Linked DNA regions of Oryzias latipes. The protein of the gene in region 1 interacts with the protein of each later gene in a pairwise test. Links are inferred from orthologs where the notes say so. Each region holds a gene or a part of one and is shown in the gene's direction. Other genes may lie near its edges.

Region 1 (3,753 bases):
GCGGAAGCTCGAAATTCTGATCTGCACCATTGACTGTAGACCGGGAGGAGCCGGCGCACGCCAGAGATGTCTGCAACACTTACAGTTAACGGGATCCAGAAGGAATGAGACCTGAAGAATTTAAAGACAGGATCGGGGCGCGACAACCCGAGTCAGTTCAGCAATCTGATGGAGGGGAAATGATCACTGGGTTCACCAGCTGCAATAGTTAAACCCATGTTCATAAAAACATTTTTTCTATGGGACCTTCAGACACGGATTCAGAGCAGGAATCAGGAACAGCCAATTCTGGCTTTTTGTGCTCGAATAGAGCTTACCTGTACAGGCTTACTAAGGACAGGTAAGGCACAGGTAAAGGTACCTGTACCTGAGGTAGACATAAGCCGAGCCTTAGCAGTACCATACATGACGCCAACCTCAGAGGACTGATAGCGGCACTATCACCTCGAGTCAAAAACAAAACAATCATTGTTGACCAATCGACTGCTGAATGAATCGATAGAGACGGCCTCTAGTTGGAGGGAACCCTGTTCCCAGAAGACTCCGTCTGACAGGAAACTCATGAGAGGAACGCAGGAAGCTACAACCTCAGAACCAGAAGAACCAGAGCTGGGTCGGTTCTAGAGGTCCAAGACAAACACCGAAACTCTGAGAGAACGTTCCTGAACACAATAATGGTTTGAACAGTTTGAAAGAACTTTTGCTTCAATGGATACAATTATTTAATAAACATTGTTAGATATAAATTATTGTTTTAATATTAAAAAGCAGAAGCAAAAGCAAATAAACGCAGTTAGTTACATCAAGAAATCTGATTAAAACATCTAAATATAAAAGGGAGTACACACACGCACGCACGCACGCACACACCCACCCACCCACACCCATACACACACACACAGTAAACCAGCAAGTCTAACTTGGGTAAACCATCAGGTGCAACCCGAAAAAATCAGCAGGTGTAACTGTAACCCGGGTAAAGGTGTATCCGAGTAAATTAGCAGGTTAACCCGGGTAAATTAGCAGGTGTAAGTAACCCGAGTAAACCATCAGGTGTAACCCGGGCAAATCATCAGATGTAGCCCGGGTAAGTCAGCAGGTGTAGCCCGGGTAAATCAGCAGGTTTGACCCGGTGCGGCTGTCATTGATTCCGCTCGATCATCATGTTGTCGTTGGTTGAGCTAGCGCGGCTCCTTAACCCCTCGCGCGGGTTTCATGGTCGCTTTATGATCGCATCTTTAGGACACATTTGGTAATAAATTCATGTCCAACCGACAGTCAGAGGATCTAAACCGCCTACCTGAGTCTCCTGAGCTCGACATGATGAACACAGAGCTAACCGGCAGATGCTGATGCAACAAGAACGTGCCCGGAAGCAGACGGAACCGGAACTAATGCAAGCGGACCTGTTAGCGAGGGGGACGCTAAAGACTGACGGCCCACAACAAGCGGAAGTTTGTTTACATGAGAAAAAGTGGGCTCGAGGCCACAGAAGCGGCTCCTCTCTGCTCCGATCGCCCGGTCAGGAGAATGTCTTGCATGAAGGACTACGTGGACAGAGTGAGCCGCGTTTATGAGCGCTACACGGAGTACGTGAGGAGGAACCCCGCGGCCACGGCGCAGCTGGAGAACACCGTCCGGACTCTGTCCTACCTGATCGCAGGTGAGCCGCGGCTCAGCAGCAGCTTCCGCGGTACCCTTCAATGACCGAGCTGCTTCTAAAGGACACTTTTATTCCGAATCCGCAGGTCGATTTGCTGATTGTCATGAAATATCGGAATTAGGTGAGTTGCTTAGTGCAAAAAAGTCTGCACGTGTGCGCATGCGCGTTGAATGTTTTTTTATTTTGAGGATTTGAGTGAATTCTGTTTTATTACAATGATGAAGGTCTGAAGAAAACTGCTCACATTTAAAAGCTCAGGAAAAAAAACTGTATGTGGATTCAGGAAATGTTTCAGAGAAAAGAAAAAGTCTCCCTGCAGAAAAGCTGCAATTCAAAAATAGCGAGTATATTTGCAAAATAATCGCATTATTTATTTATAATTAGATCACAGTCATTGTAATACATTATTTAAATGTGTGAAACAGCTGATATTGTACTATAGCTTGTAGTTATTTTTTGTTTTGATTTAGTTTAATCTAATGTCTTAGCTAATTAACTAAAACTGTAATCTGAAACAAAGTTGAATAAACGAGCATTTACTGATAAAACTGCAGTATTTTTTAGTGTCCAAATAGAAGGAAGAACAATGACAGACACAGCTGGAAGTGTCTACAGGGCTGAAAAAGTGTCACAAATATCAAAGCTCTGAAAAATGCTTTAGCTGAACGTTTATTCTTCACTAGGAAAGAGTTTGTAAAGAATACATTCTATTTAAGTTTGTACACTACATTCAGTTGTATAAATAAAATCTCCAAAAACGGCAAAAGTAAAAGTACGATAAAAGAACCTCCTGAATGTTTGGGAACCAGAGCTGAAAGCTGCTTCTGGAAAACGTTTATGTTTCTGTTCAGAAACACAGAAGAAGATCTGAAATAAAAATCCCACAAAGAACAGAACATGTTAGCTTTATGACACCAGCAGGGATGGATGGATGATGGATGGATGCATGGATGGATGATGGATGGATGGATGATGGATGGATGCATGGATGGATGATGATGGATGGATGCATGGATGGATGGATGATGGATGGATGGATGGATGATGGATGGATGGATGGATGATGGATGGATGCATGGATGGATGGATGATGGATGGATGGATGGATGATAGATGGATGGATGATAGATGGATGGTGGATGGATGAAGGAAGAAGGTTGGATGATGGATGGGTGAAGGATGGATGGATCATGGATGGATGGATGGATGGATGGAGGATGGATGGATGGATGATGGATGGATGCATGGATGGATGGATGGATGGATGATGGATGGATGGATGGATGATAGATGGATGGATGATAGATGGATGGTGGATGGATGAAGGATGAAGGTTGGATGATGGATGGGTGAAGGATGGATGGATGATGGATGGATGGATGGATGGAGGATGGATGGATGGATGCATGGATGGATGGATGGATGATGGATGGATTGATGGATGGATGGATGATAGATGGATCATGGATGGATGAAGGATGAAGGTTGGAGGTTGGATGGGAGAAGGATGGATGGATGATGGATGGATGGATGGATGGATGATATATGGATGATGGTTAGATGGATGGATGATAGATGGATGGATGATAGATGGATGGTGGATGGATGGATGATGGAGGATGGATGGATGCATGGATGGATGGATGAAGGATGAAAGTTGGATGATGGATGGATGGGTGAAGGATGTAAGTTGGATGATGGAGGGATGGATGAAGGATGATGGATGGATGATTGATGGATGATGGATGGATGGATGAAGGTGGATGGATGGATGATGGATGGATGGATGATAGATGGATGATGGAGGGATCGATGATGGATGATGGAGGGATGGATGATGGATGGATGATGATCGATGGATGACAGATGGATGATGGAGGGATGGATGATGGATAGATGGTGGATGGATGGATGGATGGATGATAGATGGATGGTGGATGGATGAAGGATGAAGGTTGGATGATGGATGGGTGAAGGATGGATGGATGATAGATGGATTGATGGATGGATGGAAGATGGATGGATGCATGGATGGATGGATGGATGGAAGATGGATGGATGCATGGATGGATGGATGGATTGATGAATGG
Region 2 (3,753 bases), on another chromosome or scaffold:
TATACACAAAAATAGGTTACAGAAATGTCACCCCAGCTTTAACTTCTTTAACAATGAGATCAATTTATACTTAAAATCTATAAAGTTAATCGACTCACCTAAAGCCATAACAATTTATGACACCCTGAGTGATATTCCAAGTATCTGAGACAATTTATTTTTCTGTTGTATCCCCCTGCATTTTGTAACACTATCCAACTCGCGCACGCACATCCTACGCATCTTTCCCTTAATAAATCACAACCGATTCTAAATGCAGCGCAGCTTTTGCGGCTTCATGACAAGCCTATAGTTGCCCATAAATAGTCCGTGAAACGCCCACAAATGAATATTCATTGATTGCGAAACCATGGCAAACACAGAAAGGAAAGGAAAAAAACGTATGTACTTTTTTTTTTGGGTGGCCCTAAAACTCCGTCATACGAAGGTCTTATTTTTTTATATTTATTTTAATAATTAATGTATTAATTCTTCAGGTGAAATACTACATACATGAATGTTAATGTAATAAGAAAACACCATACTTCCCCCAATTCATCAAAGATTTTTATATAAAATCAGTGTCATACTCCACCAGCAGAAAGGCCCTCAAAACTAGTGAAATCTGTCAATCTTTGCAGATATTTATGTAATCACCCCTATTGTTATTTAATATAGTCTATAGTATATGCTGTGTACATTCCTTGTACATTGTACATTGAATGGTTCTTTCTCGTGTTGTGTACTTGTATTTTGTTCAAAAGAGTTTTATTTAAAAACCAAATTATGCAGCTTTCTGGAACAGGGCCCGGGTGGTGGCGGTAATGCGTCCATAAAACTACACAAGAAAAAGGAGAATGACGTCATTTCCGAGGCCTTTTTTTCCTCTTCCGTTACAGTGTGTGCAGCTCGTGTGAGCGGCTGAAATGTAAATAAACTCCACGTCGGATGTTTTTTATATTATTTTTTTAATTTAGAACTTCTTCGACTTCGCAAAGATGTTTTCCTCTGTGGGGTCCTTTATTAAACGCCACAAAAGGAAGTTTCTTTTCACGGGAGCTGTGGTTGCAGGTACATTATTCTGTTAGCCTGTTTGCTAACAGCAGCATTTTGTAGTCTTATTACGTTAAACCGATACATTCATATTTAAAATACGTAGAACTGGGGAGGTCCGTCTGCAGTAAATAACCTCTTACGTCTCCGATGCAAAAAACTCGTTTTCTTGAAGTTACTTTCCAACTAATATTAATAACGTTCACGGCGACTGTTGAATTGCCAAGTAGTATAGTGAGGTTAGCTTATCTGCATCTTAGTGTCTGTTTTTGTAATGTGATATTATGGGAATGCTGGCTGCAGATCTGAAGGAACAGACTTTGTGGTTTCAGCTTGTTTGCTGCTTGATCTGTGGGGGTTTCTGTGTTAGTAATTCAAAAGAACAGTTTGCTCAGACAGACCACTCCCCATTCCTTTAAGGAGTTTACCTGCTGGGAAAATATGCCCAGAAGAAGTTGAAGGAGGTCCAGGAGAAGGAGGCTGCAGAGTACATCGCTCAGGCCAGGAGGCAGTTCCACTTTGAGAGCAACCAGAGGACCTGCAACATGACGGGTAAAGGCCCGTACACACCGGGACGAATATTCGCCAGGCGTTATTCGCCAGCGTTTTTCGCCACGTTTTTTGTGTTCACACCCAGGCGATTTTCGCTGACGATGAGTGGAGTGAACATGCAATTTCATTCCCTGACATTAGATGGCGCTTAATGTAAAACAGAAATACTCCTGTACACAAGGTGGCGCTGCGCAACTTTACGCTTCTTAAAGTCGCTTTTCACTCAGAAGAAGAGAGCAAGTATTTACACGCTTGTCAGAATCAAACAAAGAAAACATGAATATTTCAAGCACCAGTAGCTCCAACTGGTGCTTGGTTCGGGGATGTTTTAGAATGTCCGTCATTATTGCTTCGCGGCTGTGTAGACGCTACTTGGGGTCTATCTTCTTCGCTGGTATGTGTGCTCAGCAAGGCAGTTTTGTGTTTGAGCGCCCCCAAGTTGTGTTTTACTGTAACTTCAGAAGCTCCAGACACGTGAGCAAAAGCGCCATTCTCATTGGTCGAGTAGATTTCGACGCGACGCGTCGAAAAAAAAAAAACGAACCCGAGGCGTTTTTTTTTTCTGACGCTTTGTCGCGTGGCGTTTTTTCGCGTCGGTGTGCACACTCTCATTGGGGCCCTTTGTTTAGTCACGAGGCGTTAAACGTCGGCGAAAATCGCCGACGAAATTCGTCCCGGTGTGAACGGGCCTTAAGGCAGCTGTCCCTCACTGATGTGGGACGGGGACAGTGCTTCATGGCTCTCACACAGGTTTTTGTGTTGCAGTGCTGTCCATGCTCCCCCCACTCAGAGAAGCCATTATGACCCATCTGGACTCAGAGAGTCTGACCACACTGCTGAAAACCAAGTGAGCAGAAGCTTGAATGAAGGCTGGAGATGAGTGAAGTGTGGAGGTTCACCCTCTGTGTTTGTCTCACAGACCAGCCAACAAGTTGGAGATCTGGGAGGATCTGAAGATCATTAGTGAGTGTTTGAAGGTTCCAGAGGGTTAACCAGTTTCACGTTTGTCCAAGTTCATCTGTCTCGTTTCTAATCTCCTTATTGCTTATTAAAAGTAAAAAAAGTTCTGAATCTTTCAGATGTAGGTGGTAAAAGCATTTCTTCAGTCTCAAATGTCACTGGTTTGGTTAAAGAGGAAGCTGTTTTTGTTAATGCTGCTGCCCTTCTCTCTCACAAACTGCTTCATTCAGGTTTTACACGGACCATAGTGGCTGTGTACAGCTCCTGCATGCTGGTGGTTCTGCTCAGAGTCCAGCTCAACATCATTGGGGGGTACCTGTACCTGGATAACTCTGCAGGGAGGAGCCCAACGGTAAGGAGTGCACATAACTGATATGACTTTAGCCCTTCAGGCTATTTGCACATACACACACATTGTGACACACTGAACCCTAATTCAAGGGTGTCCAATTCAGCCTCGGGGGCCAGTGTCTGACATGTTTTCGAGCCAGCCTGCTAAGTGAAGCAACTTATTGGCTAAACAGACCTCATCTAGGTAATCGACAGCAGATCCTCTGGGTTTCTGGAAAACCATCGGGAGGCCGGCCCTAAAGGCCTGGGTATAGACCCCCCCCCCCCCCCCCCCCCTGACTGCAGGCTCCTTGAGCAGAGGTTGCTGAGTCCCTTCTACTCTTTCAGGACTCTGACGTCAGAAAAAAATGTATTTTAGTCAGAATTAACTTTTGCATTTACACTATACAATGCTGAAACTATCAAACATAGACGTTCTGAGGACTACGTAGCAGCATTTCCACCTTCCGCGGATCTGAGCACGGATTAAAAAAAATATGAGCGAGCAGGCCCTTAATAATAATCATAACAGTAATAAAAACACATTTGGTCCAAACGGCAAACGTTTAGCCTGGCAACCCCCCCCCCCCCCCCCCCCCCTTTTGTTGTGTTTTTTGTGTGACTGCGGTTGTCATGGAGGCAACGCAGTGACAAAGGAGGCGTTGCCTTGGGCGCTCCTGGATGAGGCTGGACGGGGATGCGCAGGAGAGGAAAAAGGGGGGCTGCTCGGCCATATGTGCTCTTTCTGAGTTTTGAACGAGGAAGTGTTTGCAGACGTTGTTCTGCACTAACAGTTTGCTCCAAGCAAAGAAATAAACGGCTTCTAGCGTGTTCCAGAGCAACAGTGTCCCGCCACATGAGAGGAAAAAATCGGGTCAC

What was found. The genes of interacting proteins can lie anywhere in the genome.
Region 2: the proteins of pex16 (region 1) and pex3 interact in binary tests that used the Homo sapiens proteins (3 or more experiments, as listed by UniProt). The link is inferred for Oryzias latipes from reciprocal best matches to the Homo sapiens genes PEX16 and PEX3.

What each region holds. Positions count from the first base shown.
Region 1 is NC_019861.2:661,586-665,338, forward strand, and holds the start of pex16 (peroxisomal biogenesis factor 16), read left to right. Parts: upstream 1-1,437; 5' UTR 1,438-1,464; coding exon 1,465-1,663; intron 1,664-1,748; coding exon 1,749-1,784; intron 1,785-3,753. Other genes in the region: cars (cysteine--tRNA ligase, cytoplasmic), read right to left, coding at 1,301-1,322. UniProt on the Homo sapiens protein: Required for peroxisome membrane biogenesis. May play a role in early stages of peroxisome assembly. Can recruit other peroxisomal proteins, such as PEX3 and PMP34, to de novo peroxisomes derived from the endoplasmic reticulum (ER).
Region 2 is NC_019882.2:23,442,181-23,445,933, reverse strand, and holds the start of pex3 (peroxisomal biogenesis factor 3), read left to right. Parts: upstream 1-841; 5' UTR 842-977; coding exon 978-1,050; intron 1,051-1,452; coding exon 1,453-1,584; intron 1,585-2,349; coding exon 2,350-2,431; intron 2,432-2,503; coding exon 2,504-2,547; intron 2,548-2,774; coding exon 2,775-2,896; intron 2,897-3,753. UniProt on the Homo sapiens protein: Involved in peroxisome biosynthesis and integrity. Assembles membrane vesicles before the matrix proteins are translocated. As a docking factor for PEX19, is necessary for the import of peroxisomal membrane proteins in the peroxisomes.